Linked DNA regions of Diceros bicornis minor. The protein of the gene in region 1 purifies or fractionates together with the protein of each later gene. This does not show direct contact. Links are inferred from orthologs where the notes say so. Each region holds a gene or a part of one and is shown on either strand. Other genes may lie near its edges.

Evidence for each region.
Region 2: the proteins of GDI2 (region 1) and RAB8A purify together in Homo sapiens (co-immunoprecipitation; 5 studies listed by BioGRID and IntAct, with this or other methods). This does not show direct contact. The link is inferred for Diceros bicornis minor from reciprocal best matches to the Homo sapiens genes GDI2 and RAB8A.

What each region holds. Positions count from the first base shown.
Region 1 is NC_080775.1:7,007,233-7,017,463, forward strand, and holds the start of GDI2 (rab GDP dissociation inhibitor beta), read right to left. Parts: upstream 3,971-10,231; 5' UTR 3,757-3,970; coding exon 3,712-3,756; intron 1-3,711. UniProt on the Homo sapiens protein: GDP-dissociation inhibitor preventing the GDP to GTP exchange of most Rab proteins. By keeping these small GTPases in their inactive GDP-bound form regulates intracellular membrane trafficking.
Region 2 is NC_080759.1:4,348,740-4,358,791, reverse strand, and holds the start of RAB8A (ras-related protein Rab-8A), read right to left. Parts: upstream 3,980-10,052; 5' UTR 3,945-3,979; coding exon 3,821-3,944; intron 1-3,820. Other genes in the region: TPM4 (tropomyosin alpha-4 chain), read right to left, coding at 8,186-8,268. UniProt on the Homo sapiens protein: The small GTPases Rab are key regulators of intracellular membrane trafficking, from the formation of transport vesicles to their fusion with membranes.

The sequences.
Region 1 (10,231 bases):
CTTTGGGGGAAAAAAAGGAGGAGGATTGGCAACAGATGTTAGCTCAGAGACGGTCTTCCTCAGCAAAAAGAGGAGGATTAGCATGGATGTTAGCTCAGGGCTGATCTTCCCCACAAAAAAAAAAAAAAAAGTAGAAAATTGGGTGCTCAGAGGCTGTCTATACATGCTGAAAGAAAGTAAAAGTCGCCAGCCTAATAGCAAAGTAAGCGAGCCGGGGTGGAATGAAAAGCAGACTGTAGAACTCACAAGGCTGAGCAATCTGAGACTATTTAGTAAGGCGGGCCAAAGTTCCTACAAAGCTCACCAGGTCCCAATGGCTTCACGATACAGCATAACACAATAATTAACCCTCATGATGCGAAATCTTTAGTTATCAAGTTAATTAATTATGTTCCTTAGTTTGTTAAAGTTGTGGTATCATTTGGAAAGGCTCTTATCTAAAAGTTTTGGTTCTAGGGCAGGCCCCGTGGCTTAGCGGTTAAGTGCGCGTGCTCCGCTACTGGCAGCCCGGGTTCCCATCCCGGGCGCACACCGACGCACCGCTTCTCCAGCCATGCTGAGGCTGCGTCCCACATACAGCAACTAGAAAGATGTGCAGCTGTGACATACAACTATCTACTGGGGCTTTGGGGGAAAAAATAAATAAAATTAAATTAAAAGTTTTGGTTCTTTAAAGCGATAACCCTCAATTGCTTAGAAAATTCAATTATATGGAATATCCTATTTCTCCCAGAGAAAGAAGATTTTGCTCTAGTTTTTACCAAATCTTCTTTATTAAAGTTACTATCAATATTTGTGGATTAACCTGACCTTATTTTAGATGTAACTATCAATGCAAACAAGGACAACACTAGGCAACACAGAGAAACTCCAACACATCCTTCCACTTTATTTTAAAAGTAACAAGTTAATCGTACTAAAGTACTTGACACACTGGCATCACATAATATTTGGTACCCATAACTGATAGCATACGCCTGTTTTCAGGTTCTTAAATCTCAGGCACTATATATTTATAAACCAAAAACTAAGAAAATTAGGGGCCAGCAGGGTGGTGCAAGCAGTTAAGTGCGCGCGCTCCGCTGCGGCGGCCCAGGGTTCACAGGTTCGGATCCCAGGCGCGCACCCATGCACCACTTGGCAAGCCATGCTGTGGCGGTGTCCCATATAAAGTGGAGGAAGATGGGCATGGATGTTAGCCCAGGGCCAGTCTTCCTCAGCAAAAAGAGGAGGATTGGCAGACGTTAGCCCAGGGCGGATCTTCCTCATAAAAAAAAAAAAAAAAAAAAAACTAGGAAAATTAAATATGTTCACTCTAAATACTCAAAGTTAATTCTAACTTGAGGGTTTTAAACTTTGGTGGTCTCTTCATTTAACTTTAAGTAATCAAAGTCCTTGTGTCACTAAAAATGAGGGTACAAGATTCATCATTATCAAAATCATCCCGTCACCACTATTCCTATCAATGATGGTAATAATGTGATTGCTCTGAATTGATATAATTCTCAAAAAATATGTCACAAAACAATCTATGAAGGCTCATAGGTATTAAAGTTATCACAGCTATAATATGATAGCAAAAATTGGTCTGATTTCTAGTTAGGTATGCGTCTACCACTCACCAAAAATCCAAATGAATCCAATTAATTAATCCTAATGAAAATTTAAATAAAGTGCATTATCTGAACTTGGTTGTTATACAAGACTGTGCTGTCTTTGCTACAATGTGATGCTTCTGAACTAGGCAGGTAGAAACCTGCGTGATGATGGATTTGCACTCATTTGTCCACGCTCAACTGACCTAACCAAGAGCAAATCTGAAAGACCAGCACTAACCGTAGAAAAACAGTGGAACTCACTGGCTCTTACAACATGCGGGCAGCAACAGTGCCCATTCCAGTGAGCAAAATCCATCACAAACTAAGCTCAGCTCAGAATCCCAATTAGGCATTTTAAAAACTAAAAAGACAACCCTGCAGTGGGTAGGCCAATTCATTTAGGCATCCAACAGTCTTCCAAATCACCACCAAAAAGGAAATTCAACCCAATATCTCACATTCAAAATGACTAAATAGCTTTCTAGGTAAGTAATCTCATCTATTTGGTACTATTTCCTAGGCAGGCACATGTCTATCTCTGGACCGGTCAAATATAATGAAGCATTCAGAAATGAGTATTCTCCAACAATCACCATAAATCACTATAAACAGAAAAATGACAGGCCAGAAAAGTGCCATTCTAGTTCCTAACAACCTTTTCCTAAAAAATTAGCCAAATTAAAGTTAAAACGTTTTCTCTTGTCTAGAGAAATCTAAAATAGTTATTTTGGAGTGTTACCTGAAAAAAATATTAATTTGATCCTGAGAGATTACAGTGCATTTCAACAACCCTGAAGCAGCGATTTACATTAAATGACCCAGAACTTTGGGATCAGATTATACAGGATACACAATATTTACATCAGCGTTCATCTTAAGACAAAGCAGCCCAAAGTCAGAATTTCAAATTTCCAAAAAATTCTAATAATGAAAATGGTCTTCTCTTCAAATGGAATCCTTTTGCAAGATGAATAGTATTCATTTTCTTAAAAAAGGACAAAAAGAAGTACTACAAGATACAACACCTGCCTGCATTATTTGCAGATTATCTAAAGGTCTCTAGACAGACAGATACCCAGGAAATTAAGTTTGCCATGGTATTAGCAACACCTTGCATTCACATGACAACTGCATTTTTTATGTTGGTACTGATTGATCTCCTAACTCCCTGAAGAGGATAGTAGTGGAGAACTTGGCCTCTGGCAATCCATCACCAACCCATGTCTTAAGGGAAAGCATCCAGAAGAGACAATGGAGTCAGGGAACAGACCAAACAAAAGGAAAACGTGGCAAAAGTCAGGTGAGAAAGGGTTTGATAGACAAGTTTTGAGAAAACTCATTTCCAATTCTACAGATGCTCCGTTAAGTGGGATAGGAGGGTGGTTACAAGGAATGGACAATGCTTCTCAACTGGAGTGGGGATAGGAAAACTACTTTTCTCCAAAAACTTAAGTTAACTGAACTCTGACAATTACAAAACAGTGATTATCCAAAGACTTGTCACAAAGCCTTGCGCCTCGTTCTGGCAGCCAGAGCTGAGTGGTAGTAGTGGCTGCAGGCTAAGCAGGAAATGCAACTGTGAGTGGCTTCCACCCTCCCCCACTCTGCCTGGCGCTTTTCCGTTTCCAATCCGGAGAGGCCATCCACCCGTGAGGGAGGTGGAGGGGCATCAACACCCCGATCCGGGCTTCTACGGTGCCTTCTGCAGCACAGCGACACTCCGCTGTTCCCCCCACCTGTATTTCGCCGTGACCACCCATCAGGGCACCCACGGGACCGCGTCTTCCATCTCCTGGCGCCCCCTTCCGCACTCAGAGACGACCCACTCCACCGGCCGACCCGCCCCTGCGCGGCCGCGAGCCCCCGCGCAGGCCCACTCCAGCTCCCGACCCCCGCGAAGTTCAGCCCCCGAAACCTCGACGGAGGACGCCCCCCGCGGCCAGGCCGAGGCTCGGGGCCGACGCGCGCAGGCCGTTCCGCGCGGTCTGGCGGGGTGGGCCTCGCCTCCCGCGGCGGGAGCGACGGGGCTGGGGAGGGGGCTGAGCCCCGGCCTCCCGCCCCCCGGCCCCCGGCCCGCCCCCGGCCCCCGGCCGCGCCGCCGCGCGGAGCTCACCGTCAGGCCGGTGCCCAGCACGATCACGTCGTACTCCTCATTCATGGCGGGGCAGGGCGAGGACGGGAGCGCAGAGGCGGCGCAGGATTCTAGGGGCAGGGGTTATGCGGCCACCCTGGCGGGGCGGGGAAGCGCTCCGGCGGCCTCGGGCCGAGGAAGAGGGCAGCCGGGAGGAGAGGTATACGGAGCTGGAGAGGACGGAGGCCGGCCGCCACCTCAGACGGGAAGAGAAGAGCGGGGCACGGAGGGGAGGGAAGGTGGGGAGGGGAGGGAGAGCGGGCGGCGACCCGGGCCTCCGCAGCCGGGGCGGGGCCTAGAGGAGGCGCTGGAGGGCCGTCGATCACGCCCTTCCCGCGCTCTCATTGGCTACGTCCCGTCGCCCGCCCAACCTTCTTCCGTTCCCACCTCTCGCGAGAAAAGGGCAGGATGCCTGCCGGTGGATTCCGGTTCCCCGCCCGGCCTCCTGCCACCGTGGTGGGAGGCGGAGGCGGTCGTGTGCGGACCCTGGAGGGCCGGAGGGGGCGTGCCCTCGGCCGGAGAGCGGCTGTCCGGTTCGTTAGTGCCGCCGCCGTGCAGGAGCCGGGGCGCGCCCCAGGCCCGCGCCCTGCCGCTGCCCTTGGACTTTGAGCCTGCGGCGGCCACGTGCGCCGGAACCGGCCGCGCGGGGTTCTAGGCGGGCGCGGGGAAGGCGGGCGGCCGCCCCGGGTTCCGCCCGCCGGGCTGGAGCCCACGTCCGGCGGCCCGACTCCCGCTGCGGCCCACGGCGGGCTCAGACCCCCCGGCGCTCCTGCGGCGCCTGGTCTCGTTTGCAACTTGTTTTGTTCTTTCTGTCCTGCCTCCCTTTTCCGAAGGAAAAAGGACCCAGCGTATTTTAAGGAGTTCAGAAATCACATACGTTTTATCTCACTTCCCGCCCTGTGTCATTCTTGCTTGTGCGTTGCCCCATGTGCACCCTTAGGAAATTCAGAAGAAAAAAAAAAACTTCCTTTTTAAAAGTAACCCTTAGAAAAAATTAAAAAAAAATAAAAGTAACCCTTGGTATAAAGAAAGGGGAAGGCCAGATTGGATTTGCAAGCAGGTCTGCGCCTACTGCGAGCTGTCACTTAGACCAGCTATAGAACTAGTATACGAATAGGTTTAGGCCATGCGTGTAGAAGAACCTTGGCCTTCCATCCCCTCTACCCCTACTTCCATCCCGCCACACACACCTTTTTTTTAGGATTCTCATTGGAATCTCCAGCTTTGGGTGAAGAGACAGGGGTAAGCAGAGGCTTGTGTTCTCACAGCAGACCCTATAGCGAGGCCTTCTAGACAAGCGATCTTCCTAAAGGCGTTGACAACCTGTATTTTCACCCTGAGATAGGTCTGCATAATCAGCCAACAAAAGAGTCGGTATTTCCTTCAAGCTTTACTTTCAAATATAGCTGGATAAGAGCTATTCAAAGTGAATCTTGGTAGACAGAACTTCCTTCATATTTAAATCATTCAGATTCAGGAAAGAATGAGAAAACATTTTTTGCAACGTTTCTTTGCCCCATAAAGAGAGTTTAAGAAAGTATGTTATATTGGAGAATAGACCTTTTTGAGGGGGAGGGAGAAGAAAGCAGTTTAAATTTACATACAGCCTTAATTGGATTTATATATATTAGTGACCAAAAGCATTTTTATAAGTAGACAAAAATCAAGAGCAAAGTTGACTACACTACTGAACAAATTATATAACAGTGGTGTAACTGAATTTTTGGTTGGCTAAACAGATGATGCCTTAAGGTCCTGCTCTTCCTCTCCAGGTAATCAGGAGTCACTCCATATATGCTTATAAACAATTATTTCTCACGGATCTGGAGGCTAGAGGTACAAGATCAAGGTGTGTCTGGTGAGGGCCCACTTCCTGTTTCTCATTGTCTTTTCATTGTGGGGCAAGGGATCTCTCTGGGGCTGCTTTTACAGGTTACCTATATATTTGAACTGACATGAAACACTGACCCTTTTTAAAAAAAATCAGTAATAACAATAAAGAGCCTTTTTCTCTTATTGTCATCAGCATCTGAATGTTGAAGAGGCTTTTAAGCCTATCAGCTGATTTATGTTACTATGTTTTAAGTGAAGGATATTTCATCAATATTCAGATAGAGTTACTGAGAAACTTAAAGGCATTGGATAAGGGAACTGAATTTAAGGCTAATAAGGCTCCTCAGTCTGATCCCTTACACTGAAATTTAGTTTTGTTGGCAGTACAAGTCCCATGGCCCAGCAGAAGGACCAAAAAAAACCTAAAAAACCAACTGGAGTAATCTTCAACAGGGTGAGTCCAAGCAAAATTGTGTCAGCTCTTGGATCTTCCACCCCACCTATTCCAGTTGCCAAGGAACTTGGTAGACAACAAATACTGTTTGTGGTGACCTGGCTTGAAAGCCACCAATTGGTTCAGTGTATCAAAGGCCACAGATGCCAGTTCTGATAGAGTGAAACAGGTTTGGAGGAAGTAGGTGGTTGGTGTAGAGGAGCGGAAAACACCATGAATCTTGAAAATATTTCAAATCCTTCTATAAAGCAAGAGTCCAGTGGGAGTCTTATTATACCTGGGCACTTGGGAATAACTGTTTGCTGATCTGTTTCTACTAAGCCTCCACCTGCACTTTACAAAGGAAGAACCTGAGTCCAAGGAAAAGAAATTTAGAGAGAACCTTAGCCCAGGCCACTTCCTCTGTCCCGAACCACTGCAACAGCTTCTCAACCCGTGTTCCCCCTCCTGTCTGTTCTGACCATTGTCTTCTTAAAATGTGAATCAGATCATGTTCATGCTTCCACCTCTTTTGCATTTAGAATAAAATGCAAATCTTTTAATATGGCCTAAAAAGTATGGTTTAATCTAGCCTCTCATCTGTCTCCCACTTCATCTTGCTTCTTGCTCGCTGCACTCCAAACACACTAGTCTTTCAGTTCCTAGAATCTGGTCAAGCTCTTAACCACCCAAGGGCCTCTTGTTGGTCCCATAGCCATCAGTCAACCTCACTTCCCCTCCTGCACTTCTTCTCACGGCTAGTTCTTTCCACTTCCTTAGTTTCAGCTAAAAAATCTTCCCTGACTAGCTCATCTAAAGTAGGTTCCTCTCAACCTTTATTCTCTATCAGCACGCCGCCTATTACTTTTTTTTTCATTGCTTTTTATCAAATTGGTAATTATTTTCTTTACTTGTTTTTTGTCTGCCTGCCAATCAGAGAGTAAACTCCATGAGGGCAGGGATATTATCTGTCGTGTGCACAGCTGTGCCCCTAACACCCAGAGCAGTGCTGAGCGCCTGCCAGATGGCGAGTAGATACTTGATGAATGAATGAGAGACCTGGAAGTTGATGCCTCAATCAACAAGGACTAAATGTGATAAAATAGGTACTAGTTCCTCTTGATACTTTTGAGAAGTGCAGCTTTACTTATAGCGGGAGATACTACAATTATATTTTAGAGGGTCTTCAAGATAGGGATCTATAAAATATAAACCTTTTTAAAACCTAGATAGCTAATGCTGAAGATAAAACATAATAGGATATCTAGAAAAAATTTAATGAATTTCCAAAAATACATATTTCCCTAGTTTATGATAGATCATTTACCCACCCCCCCACCCCCCCCCCAGTGTTCATCTGCTCCCAGTCCCCATCTCAGCAGTGACTGGCTCCACCCCGGGCCCAACCAGAATTCTAGATATCATCCTTGATTCTGCCTTCCTTCTCTCCTTCCACGTCTATTCCTGTTTTCTTTTGCTGTGTAACAAACAACCCTAGAACTTAGTGGCTTAAAAAAAAAACAACAACAAAACCTAGCGGCTTAAAACAACAATGTATTATTACCTCTTATGGTTCTGTGGGTTGAAGGGGCTCAGATGCGTGGGAATTACTTGGGTCTGTGACACAGCTGTAATCAGTGGCTGGGGTCATCTGAAGGCTGACCTGGACTGGACATCCAAGATGGTGCACTCACATGGCTAACAGCCGATGCTGGCTGTCGGCGGGCAGCTTAGCAGGGGTTGTCAGCCAGAGCAGCTATGTATGTGTGGCCTCTCCATGTGGCTTGCAGTTCTCAAAGTATCGTAGCTGTATTCCAAGAGCACAAGTTCCAAGAAACAAGAAATGGAAGCCGCAGGTCTCTTAATGTCTGGGCCCAGAAACTGGAACAGTGTCCCTTTTGCCATATCCTATTTGTCAAAGCAGTTACAGAGCACACCCAAATGCAAAAGGAGGAGCTCTCAGGCAGGACCTGCCTGTCAACAGGAAGAGTGTCAGTGAATTTGTAGCCATCCTTGATCTGCCATAACACTCCATTACATTCTAGCCTTTCCACCTCATAAAACTCCTTCCACTCCCTTCTCTTCAACCTCACTGCCACCACCCTAGTGTAGACAACCATTGGATTCTCTCCCAGATAATTGCAGAAGCTTCCTCATGGGACACTTGGCCTTCAGTTTAGCGATCTCAAACCTGTTCTCTGTATTACAGCCCAAGTGATCTTCATACAAATCAAAAGAGTGGGCCGGCCCAGTGGCATAGTGGTTAAGTTCACATGCTCCACTTCGGCAGCCAGGAGTTCACGGGTTTGGATTCCGGCCGCAGACCTACAGCACTCATCAAGCCATGCTGTGGCGGCATCCCACATACAAAATAGAGGAGGATGGGCACAGATGTTAGCTCAGGGACAATCTTCCATCAGCAAAAAGAGGAAGATTGGCAACAGATGTTAGGTCACGGCCAATCTTCCTCACCAAAAAAAAATCAATAGTGACTGAGTTGACCATGTCTTTAAAATCTTTCATGGGTCTCCACTGTTCTCCGGATACAGTCCAAACACCTGTTCATTTCCTAAGATGAGCTTGAATGATCTGGCCCTCAATTACCTAGTCAACCAAATCTGTCACCACAACCCTCCTCCACCCCTCACCATATTTTCGATTCACTGTTGTATTAGTCAGTGTCCAGTCAGAAAAACAGAAACCACTCTAGGTATTTTAAATAGAAGCAATATAATAGAGGCAACTGGGTTTCAAAACTTGAAAGGGCTGGAGGGGCAAAAAAGACAAGGTTACCCAGAAGTTAGGAACTGCCTGGAACTCTAGGCTGGAGCAGGAGGGGAAATGGTGTTTCCCAACGCTGAGGACTGCTGCGCTGCTCAGGCTGACCCACTGCCATTACTGCCACTACTGCAGCCACTGCCGCTACTGCTGCTGGATCCCAGGAGACCCCGCTCACTGGCTGCTACTGCTGCCAGGACTGGAGACGCTACCAACAGCCCGAGAACATGGCTTCTCCAGTCTCCCACCGGTGATTTCCATCGGCAGATCCTCGCCAGAAGCCAGTTGGCAGAGGGATATGGGAAGTGTCATTTGCTGACTCAGCCCCTGCAGTACAGAGAAAAGCAGGAGTGGAGCCGAGAGCTAGCAGACAGATGATGAGCACAGCTGCTCTGAACGGTTTTGTGTTCCATGAACTTGCCATGCTCTTTCCCTTCTGGACACTGTTCCCTCTGTCTGGAAAGTTCTTCCCTATTCTTCTACTTGACCTTGCTTTGTCCTGCTTGTTGGATTTCTCAGTGCAGATGTCACTTCTTCCAGGAATCTTTCCTTAATTCCCAGTCTGGATTAAATTCCTCTATTCTGGGTTCCCACAGTACCCTCTACTGCCCTTCTCTTAGCACCTATCACCTGGGTTGTAAGTGTTGACTGCTCTAGTCTTACCAAGTTGTGTTCCTCTACACTCTACACTCTCATCCTTTTTTCCTTACCATCTAGAGCACAGGAGGCACTAAAATATTTAATGCAGGGGCTCATAACCTGGGGGATAACTATGATGTCCTCTCAGTGGTCTATGAACCCTCAGATGTGTATGCAAAATATAGTGCATTTTTCCAGAGAGAGGATCCACCATCAACTTCCCAAAGGGGTCAATGACTCCTAAAAGATTAAGAAACCATATGTATGGATAAAGGAATGAATTCACAGTGTTCCTAAGACTTAGATAAAGAAAAATAAAACTTCCAGGAAGAAACTGAGTATCAAAGACCATTTCAGTGGCTTATCCTAGATCAGAACTTTTATTGAATTCCTGTATATAGAGAGATGAAATCAGTACCAAGACTGATGATGTACATGGAAATACACAATAATACGCACAACAGAAATCATTGGCAAGTGGAATTTGTATATAACGACTAGGAGTTGGTGGAACAGGCGGGGCTCGGGTGTAGGGCAGAGCAGGTGAGCCAGGTGTCCTGACTCCCAAAAGACTCAAAAGCACAATACAGGCATGTCCTGGACCTCTTTGCCCTTCAGAAAGCTTCAGCTCACTCTAGGCCTAATTGTAGAGATGTTGTGGGGAAACAGCATGGCTGTCAGGGAAAAGTAATGACAACTGACTACTTCACTCTATTCATTTGTTCCATCCTAGAGGACTAGAACGATCCCTAAGCTGCCCAAACCTTAATGTTTCTTAGGTCATTTTAGAGTCATTCACTTGAATGTTTCTTATATTAA
Region 2 (10,052 bases), on another chromosome or scaffold:
CTCAGTCACCTCCCCAGCTTTCAAAAACACAAATTCAACCATGTTACAAAGCTAACCCCTGCTCCAAACCTTCCAGTGTGTTCACCAACAGACCAATAGATAAACAAAATGTGGTTAAACAAAATGTGGTATATCCATACAAGGGAATATTACTCAGCCATAAAACGGAATGAAGCTCTGACACACGCTACAACATGGATGAACCTCAAAAACATTGTGCTCAGTGAGAGAAACCAGACACAAAAGACCACATACTGTATGATTCCACTCATATGAAATGTCTAGAACAGGCAAATCCAGAGAGACAGAAAGGAGATTAGTGGTTGCCAGGGGCTGTGGAGGGAATGGGGAGATTGGCAGGCGGGGTGACTACAGAGTTTGGGGTTTCTTTTTGGAATAATGAAAATGTTCTAGAATTGACTGTGGTGATAATTGTACAACTCTGTGAATATACCAAATTGTACACTTTAAGTAGGTGAGTTGTATGGTAGGTGAATTATATCTCAATATAACTATCAAAAAACCCCAAAACACCTTCCAGTGGCTTCCCACTGCCTCCTCGGCCCCCAAATACAGTGAAAATAGTTGCCAGTGTGCTCCAAGGTCCTGCCTAACCTGGTCACCTCTCAGCACCCATGGCTCATGCCCCCCTCATAGCTGATTCCTAAAGATCCCAAACCCATTCTGGCCTCAGGGCTTTTACGCTTGCTCTCTCTTCTCTCTTGGAATGTTCTTTCTTTCCATGGCCACCTGGCTCCCCACTCCCTTCACTCAGGTCTCTGTTCAAGTTGCCTCCTCAGGGGAGCCTTCCTGACCATCTGCATTCTCTCTCCCCTCACTTGCTTTTTCTTCTTCATGCACTTATCCCCGACATCGTATATTTGTTTCTTTGCTCCATGAACCCAAGAGTAAAACTTGCTGATGCGAATGGCCTGCGTGGAGGGGAATGATGCGAATGGCCTGCGTGGAGGGGAAATAGCCAAACCTAGCCTTTGGCATGGGGAGTTTGTTCTCAATCTCTGACTTGAGGCTCAGGCCATGATGGAGATGCTAATTCCAGCCCTGCCCACCTAGGAGCTGTCCTGGGGACCACAGGGAACATAAGCCTGCACTTGGATTCTGCCCACTAGAAATAAGCTCCTCGAGGGCAGGGACTCCCACTTCTTACTCTGGGCAGCATCTCCAATGACTAAGCATGGGCAGGGGCTGAATACACATTTGCTAGAAGCCAATCGCCCTGCACACACACCTTGAGCACAGACCTCATTACATTTCTGCTTCCCTCTGATTTATCCGAGTCATCTCTGCAACCCCCGCACGGAGGCGGATGCCTGGTTCGCAGGAGGCGTTGGGGAAAGACAGCTGAATGAAAGAATTAAGTGCATCGGGGTCTTCGTGGTGCCGCACAGTTTACATCATCCATCTCCTTAAGGAATGAATAAATGAGGCCCTGAGGGGCAGTGGGGGCAGAGCCAGGCTAGGCAGAACCAATTCCAGGGAGCCACAGGGCCAAGTTCACACCACTAATGATCAATGCAGCTTATGAGAACAGGCTTTGGCAAAATGAAACCTGGGCAGAAAATGAACAGGCACTTAATCCCAAATCTATAAAGAAAACCTGGAGGTACACTCAGTGCCAACAGAGAATCGCCTTTATGCATTAAGTTGTATTTCAGGACTAAGCGGCCCAGTGTGGTCTCTTTACCCACCTCCTGTCACAGATGCACAGAGACATACGAAATCAAGAAGTACTGTTCAATTGGCAGAGCTCCACGGCATCACTCTGCCCTATCCTCCTCCTGGGTTATATTAACACACCAAATTTAATTAGGAAGTATAAATTTTATGGGGCCTAAGAATTATGAGGCCATAACTTCAAGGTCTGAGTGATTTAAACTTTCCTAGAAGACAGAGGCCTGCAGGAAGCTACATATCTAATGAGAAGAATCCTGGGTCAAGTTCACCTTCACCTCCCTATGCGACCTCGCCCAAGTCACGTCTTCGCCTGCAAATGGAAGCCAGCTTCCTTGGAGCCCTAAAGCGCTAGACTGGGTTTTCTGGTCAAGAATTTGAAACCAAAGAAAAACCCCAACTCCCAAATTGATCTCACTAATGCTCTTGCTGAGCAAGAAATTTCCGACGCCGGGAAACTGAGGTCTGGGTTGGGAGAGAGCCACAACCTGCCAGGAGTTAACATCTTCTTGACTGGTGGGGATGCAAAGGTTATCCCAAAGTTTGACCTTGGAGTGGGGGAAGGGGAGGAATTTGAAACACCTGTGCCCAGGGGAGGGCTGCTGTCATTACAGGAGCCATTCTGCTTCCTCTAGACAGCCTCTGGCAGTGGTGACAAAGCCCCTAGTCATTGTACAGTTCTGATCCTCAACCATCCAGAGCACTGGTCAAGGCAGAAAGCACCACACTTAAACCAAAGAAACAGGGCTCAGAGAAGTCAAGTGCTTGTTCAACGGCAAGTGGTGGCTGGAAATCAGGCATGATGATTTCCAGTCTAATTTTCTCAGCATTTGGCACCTAAGTGTTTTGCAAAGTGCGCTTCCGGAGGAGAGCAAAGACGGAATCAGCAGCTCATCGTGGGGTTCAGGGAGATAAGGCGATTGGGTTCAAGTTACACGGGGGTAAAGCAAAGCCCCTTCCCTAGGTTTTCTCCATTTGAGATCAACTCCTGAGCTTGGCGACCATTGTCTCACTTCCCCACTCCAGAGTGAGGCTCACAGGCCACTCTGTGACTGATGTTACCCCCAGATCAAACCTTTCCAAGTAGGCAGTGGCAGTTTTTGTGGCAGGGGGCGAAGTCAGCTCCACTTTTGTGGACGTCAGAACCAAGGAGTGGTAAGCCAATTCTGTTCAACCACAATGTGGGCTGGCCCTGCGGGAAAGGCTGTTCTGCAAAGTGACAACCGGTGTCCTGGGCCTCGAGATAGGGAAGTCAGGGTTGTCTGTGGCACTGGCTGATTTTAGTTTCTCCCTGAAGCTTTAATCCGGCATCTCCTTGGGGATGACGGGCAGGCAGCTGTCACTTGCCATTGCTGTCACCTTGACTGGGTCAGAAGGCTGGGCAGGAAAAGGGTCAGGACTCCCTCTCACCATTCCTTCTAGAGGAAATTCAGCCACAGGGGAAACAGAGTCAGGGGGAGGGGCTCAACTCCTGAATATTCCAGAGGAAAGAGCAGGGGAAGTCTAGGTTGGAGTCCTGGCTCCGAGGGGGATCAGCTGTGCTTGACCTGGGGGTGAGTGCTCGCATCTCTCTGGGATGGTTGAACCTTGAGTTTTGGGGTCAGACACACCTGGGTTCAAATCTCATCCTTGTCACCTGCACACTGTGTGACCTTGGGCGAGTCCCGTGCCCTCCCCGAGCCTCAAACTCCTCCTCCGTGAGATGGGCTCCTAACAGCAGCTAACACAGAGGCCTGGAGAGTGTGATATGCAGACAATAAATGCTCGACAAAGTCAGATGTCACGGTCCTTTTCCCATGGCCAACTCTCCGCGCCTCAGTTTCCACTTCTGTTAAGACCCCAAAGAACCGCTTCGAGGGCCTCTGCGACGACAGGAGATGACGGGCGCCAAGACCCCAGCCCAGGACATACGCTCCCAGACAAGCGGGCTGGGGGTCGAGGCCTCAGCCTCTCTAAATGGACACCCGGCCCTCCCCATGGCCCGGGAACCCCCGAACGGCGGTGGAGGCGCCACTCTTCTCCCCGCCGGCCCCCTCGACCCTCTCAGAGCCCTCAGTCAGTCCGGCCCGGCCGCTCCCTCAACCCCAGCCCGTCAGGGGCGCGCCCGGCCGCTCGCCGGCCCCGCTACCTATGGTGGAGATGAAGGTGGAGTTGAAGGCGTCCTCGGAGAAGCGGAACAGGACACAGGTCTTCCCCACCCCCGAGTCCCCGATCAGCAGCAGCTTGAAGAGGTAATCGTAGGTCTTCGCCATATTACACTCTCTCCCCAACGGGAAGTGCGGCCAGTGCCTGGCCACTGGCCGCTGGCCCCGTCCATCAGCGCGGAGCCCGCCCCCCATTGGCTCCCGGCCCGTCGCGCGTCACTGCGGCTGACGCCCGCCCCCGCGCCCCGCCCGTCGCCAGCAGAGCTGGGGAAGGGGCGACTGGGGCGCGGGGCCGGAAGCGGCCCGAGCACGCCGCTCATTGGCTGGCGCTCGGTACAGGGCGGGCTGCGATTGGCCAGCGGTGACGAGTCGAGGGGCTTCAAATGGGGATCAGGGCGGGGCCGTGGCACCCCCGTGTCCCCGCCTCCCGGACTCTGGGCGGCCCCGCCCCGTCCCCTGACGGGAGGGGTGGGGGGTGCGTCGCCAACGGCTCCGCGCGCTCGCAGCCCACGGGCGGGGCCTGGGGCGCGTGCGCACGCGCGCTGAGGAGATCGTTAGGCGCCAGCAGAGGGCGCACGCGCATGGGTCTCTGGCTCCCGCCCTCACGGCCCGCGCAGTCTCAGTAGGCGACGGGACGAGCGCGGGAAGAGACGGCGGCTGTAATCTGTGCTTTGCGGCCCTCCGCGTCAGGCCGCTGGGAGCCAAAGAGCAGAGGAACGTACGGACGCTCGTCAGAGTCGAAGCGAGGACTCCCCGAGACGTGCTCTGCCATTTCGGCGCTGGCCAGGCGACCTACTCCGAGATAGCCGGGCCTCCACCGCCTGAGCGGCCTCACCGCCGCGAGCTGCGCCCGGAGGTGCGCAGGGCTCCTAAGGACGCGCCTTGACTGCATTAGCGGCTGTCCGGGCCTCTCTCGGCCTCCTGTCTCCCGGGCCTCGCCCGCCGCCGCCCGGTCAGCCGCCTGAGGGCCGGGGCTGGGAGCCCGCGAGGGAGTCAGGTCGCGCTTGTGAGCGTCGGCTCCGGGCCGCCGGCGCTGTCGCCCTCACAGCGCACGCGCGGGCGTTTCCTCCGCGCCCGGCCCCGAGGCGGGAGGTGCCGCCCGGGTGTGTGGGGAGAAAGCCGGGCCGGCAGGCGCGGGCCTTCCCCGGCCCCGCAAGGGGGAAGCCGGCTTCTGAACTCAGGCCGACGAGCCGGCGGCCGCGGGCTCGACCACCACGGCTTCCCGCTTCTCGGGGATGGGCTGTGGCCGCGCCGCCGTGGGTCACGGGGGTGTCCGCAGGACGGCCCGGCCGCCGCCGTGCCCCTTGCGCCCCTCCGGCTCCGGTGGTCCTCGGACTGCGGGCCGCGCGGCCGGCACCCTCTCTGCTGGTGCCCTCGCGTCTTACCGGCCGGCTTCCCCGCCCCCTGGCCTGGGGCTGCTCCTCAGGTGCCGCCGAGGCGGTCGGGCTCTCCGCTCGTGCCTAGCTGGCGGCCCTCCTCTGCTGGGCTGTGCGGACGTGCGTGCCCGCTCTCGGCGTGGCTTCGGCGTCTCGCTGTGAGTGCCGGTCCCCGGAGGACGCGACGCAGCCTCGTCACCCCCTGCCCTCTGGGCGTCTGCCTTTGGGTTTGTCAGCATGTCCGCGACGGAACTTGTCCTCTCCTGCGCGCTCCAGCTTGTCCTGAGGTAGCTTCGGAGCGAATCCTGAGTCGTCCTGGACGCTTCCTTTCGTCCCTCACATCCTGGGTCTGAAGGAGGTTCTGAATAGCTCTCGAATCCGGGTCTTGTATTTCCGTTTCCCATCAGTGGTCGCCTCTCTCCACTGGTCTCCCTAATCCGGATCATTCTTTAATCCAGATTCCACCCTGCAGTGTGGCCGTTCTAAAACACGCACCCAGGACCCATCCGCGGCCTGGTGGCAGCACCAAGTCCGCACCACCGGGCGCTCGCCGCCCGCTGCGCTCCACCTCACCTCACGGCGTTGCGAACGCCGCAAGAGCCGAGGCCAGGTCAACAGGCACGGAGCACACGTTAAGGAGTGAGGCACGAGGGTGACAAACGGTATCCTGAGATTAGACTACCGTCCGGGGGGTGCGGAGGAGGGAGAGAAGGAACTTCAATCTAGTCATGGTAGGGCACTCGGGAGGGGTTACACCTTATTCATTGACGTTCCCTGCATCTGCCAGCTCAACAGTGTCAGCCAAGTGTTGAGTATGAAGGAAATATGAAGGAAATGTTTTTAATTGTAGTTGGTAACAAAAAATTGCTTGCATACTACACTAATGTTTTAAAGGCTTTCGTTTCTTTTTGATTCCCTGTCCCCCTTCCCCAAGATCAGATCCTGAGGCAAATATCAAAGCAATTCAGGTAGTGAAACTGCAGTCCGCTTTGACACTTGCTTCTTTAAGTTCCCTGCCATCCAGTCAGCTAAGTTTTAAGATTACTTCCTTCAGATCACTTCTTCCTTCTTATTCTATGGCAAGCACTATCCTGATTAATTGAAACATCTTCCTAACTGGTCTTCCAACCTCTAGTCTGCCCCTACTCTAGTCCTTCCTGAAAATGCTAAGTGGATTTTCCTAATGTATTTCTTTGATTTATTGATTAGTCTTCAGTGGCTCTCCACTTCTAACGCAGTCAAGTTCAGGCCCGCATCATTATAGATGCAGCCTACCTTTCAGCTTTCCTACTGCTTTCCTTTTTATATGCAACATACAGAAGACCTTACCCAGGCAGGCCTTGTGCTTTATGGACTCAACAGGGACCATCTTTCCTGCCCCTGTCTCATCTATTAAAATCTTACTCTGCACAGCCTGGCCCAGGCAAGATTGGGGATAACAGGAGCTTTTGAGTTACTGAGACAAAGTGCTCTCACCTGTAACATAGAGATCATAATCCTTATATCTTGAAGTCATGGTATAAAGCAAATAAATAACATTTGCTAAGTTCTTGGCAGTTATCTGTCCTTTCCATCCCATTAACATTCATTGAACCAAAATGGTGTGTATGTCCCCACACTCCAAAATTCACACAAATTGTAGTTTATGTAAAAATTTATTTGACCAAAATGTAGAAAAAGTGATACTATTACATATGATACAGTTGCAAGAATCTAAATGAAAAGTGTGGGTTTTATTCAGTTGCACAGTTTGCTAGTGTACCTCCTGGGTAGTGTGATGCTTAATAAATAGGAGTGAGGGGCAGAGGATTTGGATAAGCTAGAAGCAGGGTGATTTTTAGTCAGAATTGTAAACTTGAGTTGGCCCCCACATTGCTGGGGAATGTGGAATGTTTCAGCTCTGAGATGTTAACTGAGAAAGCAGAAATATAACAAAGCCAAAATGTGCACCCCTGTCTACAAAATACTCCATATCCAGTTTAATCAGGAGCTTCTTGGTCTTTTATTAACTTGGTCCTAAAGAAGGAATTAAAGTCCTAGATAAGTAAATCTTCAATTTGTCATTCCCTTAAGTATAGAGGAGATGAAGTTAGGCCAGTTTTTTTTTATTCTCTACTTCTGCCCAGTATTTGTTAACAGAAAAACACTCTTGCTCAATTATTGATGGCTAGCAGTCTTTTTGATATGGCTTCTCTGAATAGGACTGAATTCTACCATATTCATTCCTGCTGAGTGGATGGCCTCATATCAGAGCAGACAAGCATGGGTCATTATTGGAGTTAGACATCTGCTCCTCAGAACAACTTTAGAATAAAACACATAAAACAGCATAACATCAAAGATCTATCCAGAAAATACTGGGGTAATTATGACCATTTCCTGAGCATTCTCGTGCTGACTGCTCAGAGGATGTTTGTTCTGCACAGTGGAGTGTGGAAAAGAAGATGATTAGGTTAATCTATCTGTGCTTTATGACTTCCCACAATAGCCCCCCCCCGGTTTTTTTGTTTTTGCTCTGGATGGAAACTCCCCACCCATTTTAATGTGATGGTCCCTTGCTTCCTGTAGTGTGACCAATGCTGGTACAGAAGGTTACATCCTTCAGCCTTTTAAATTGACCCATGACTAGATATTGGAGTCTGTGTTCTGAAAGTGTGGGGTTGTCTATTCTCCCAGGAACCAAATGCCCTCAGTCTTAAGAGTATGCTCAATACGAAATACCCTGCCTACCTTAGGAATAAATGCAACTTAAGGATAAAAATGGAGCTGAAAAAGCTGGTGCCATTTGAAAAAAAGGAAGGAATTAGATTTAAGTGGTGCTCAAAGCTTCTCTGATACAAAATATTTGGTCATGTATTCATAATTTGCTTGACATTTCCAGCAAAGCAAAGATGCAATAACAAACTTTTTACAAGAGAAGAGAAAGACACGGAGCTCTGGAGTTTCTGTTGGAATAAGACTCTTCTGTCTTGGTTATATACAGTTAAGTTCATTTAGTGTCTGATCCAGTGTCTGATGTAAGCCCACGTTCTCTTCTTTGGCCTGGGCAAGTTTTTCTGGTGAGGATTAAGAGTGGGGAAAAATAAATTAATAAGCATCTTTATTAAAAAAAAAAAAAAAGGTTTCTAAACTCCCAACTGTCAGAATTAAAGTCATAGCAGAGAAGGTACTTTGCATTTTAATTATAGCAGAGTACCATAGAATAATAGAGATCAAGTACCAAATCAGGGATTTGGATAGGGTTGCAAGATAAAATACAAATTTGAATTTCAGATAAACAAGAGAGAAGTTTTTAGCATAAGTATTTCCCAAAATATTGCATGATATATCAAAAATTTATTCATTCCCTTTCAGATTTAACTGGGTGTTCTGTATTTTAATTTGCTAAATTTAATTTTAATTTGCTAATAAATCTGACAATCCTAGAGTCAGAACACCTGGATTTAAGCCCCAGTTTTGCCACCAAAGTAAGCCATTTAACCTTTCTAGGCCTCAGTTTCCCCATCTGTCAAATGGGGATAACAATACCAATGTGTGGTATAGGGGTTATTATGAGGAACAAATGGGAAGTGCTTTAGAACTTATGAAGTGCTACACAAACATAAGATATTAATCCTAGTTATGGGTGACTTAATACATTTTCCTCCTAGTGCCAGTCAATTAGCCTTTGGTAGAAAAATATAATCCTGTAACCCATCTTTCCTTTAGAGTTTCTGGGAATGGCTGTTTAAATTCCAGGCATTACTGTGTTATTGTGTTTGTGTGTCCATAGCAATGTAGTCAAACCCAAGTAAATGCAACGTGGCTGAAATTTACATACGGGTATGTTATTAAGTGATTGAGCTGCTGAAATAGATTAAAAAAAAAAGTAAGATGCCATTTAGAGCTATGCATGACAGAGCACGAGAGAGAACTGGTTTGCAATGAGCAATGGCCGATAAGGGACTAGGCCAAGACTCATTAAAATACTGGAGGAAAGCAAAAATGCCTCATAAAATGTGATAGGATCAGCTTGGAAATTTTCAGAAAGAAAAAAAAGAGACTGCAAAAATGGCAGCCTTTCAACTACAACTAGTGAACCTTTCATTTGATGAGGCACTTAAAAATCAGGTGACTATGATCTGGGAGGGTTCCTTCGGAGAGAGAACAGTGACCTGGGCCTGTCCCGTCTGGATGAACACGTGGTAACTGAGTGTCTACTATACGTGAGCCAATTTCTCAATTATCTCTTTTAATCCTTGCAGTCGCTGAAGTATCACCTTTATTTTGCAGAAAAGCTAGGTAGCTTGTTCAAGGCTGCACAGCTAAAGTGGCAGAGCTAGAATCCAAACCCAGATCTTCCGACTTCAAATCCTGACCTCCTTTCACCTTGCCACTTGGATTCCCTGGCATCTACTTTGTTATTAGGTCTGAGATAAAATAAATTTCCCTTAAAGCAATAATTGCCCTTGAGAACTGTGACAGGCCCATAGACTATCAACAGGTAGCAGTAGGTCTCCAAGCCCTAATCTCTGTAAATGAAGTTCCACTTCGATGCTTAGTTAGGCAGAATGACTGGATAGACAGGGCTGTAGTTATTTCAAAGGATGGAGGCTACATACGTCTGGAAAAATCCCAGGAACAAATACGCAGAGAGAGCAAACCAAAAATACTTGCCCTTACACAGTCTGTAATCTTTCCAAGGACATATGTATAGCAATGTGTGAGGAAGGTAGTTTATGCAAAGTTCAGTGTGGATGGCAGTTAGGAACCGGGGGGGCTGGGGGGGGGGTTGGTGGTGGAAGGGTGTGGGTAGTTTAGGGGAGATGTATTTTGGAGGAATGAATATAAAGAAGAATTG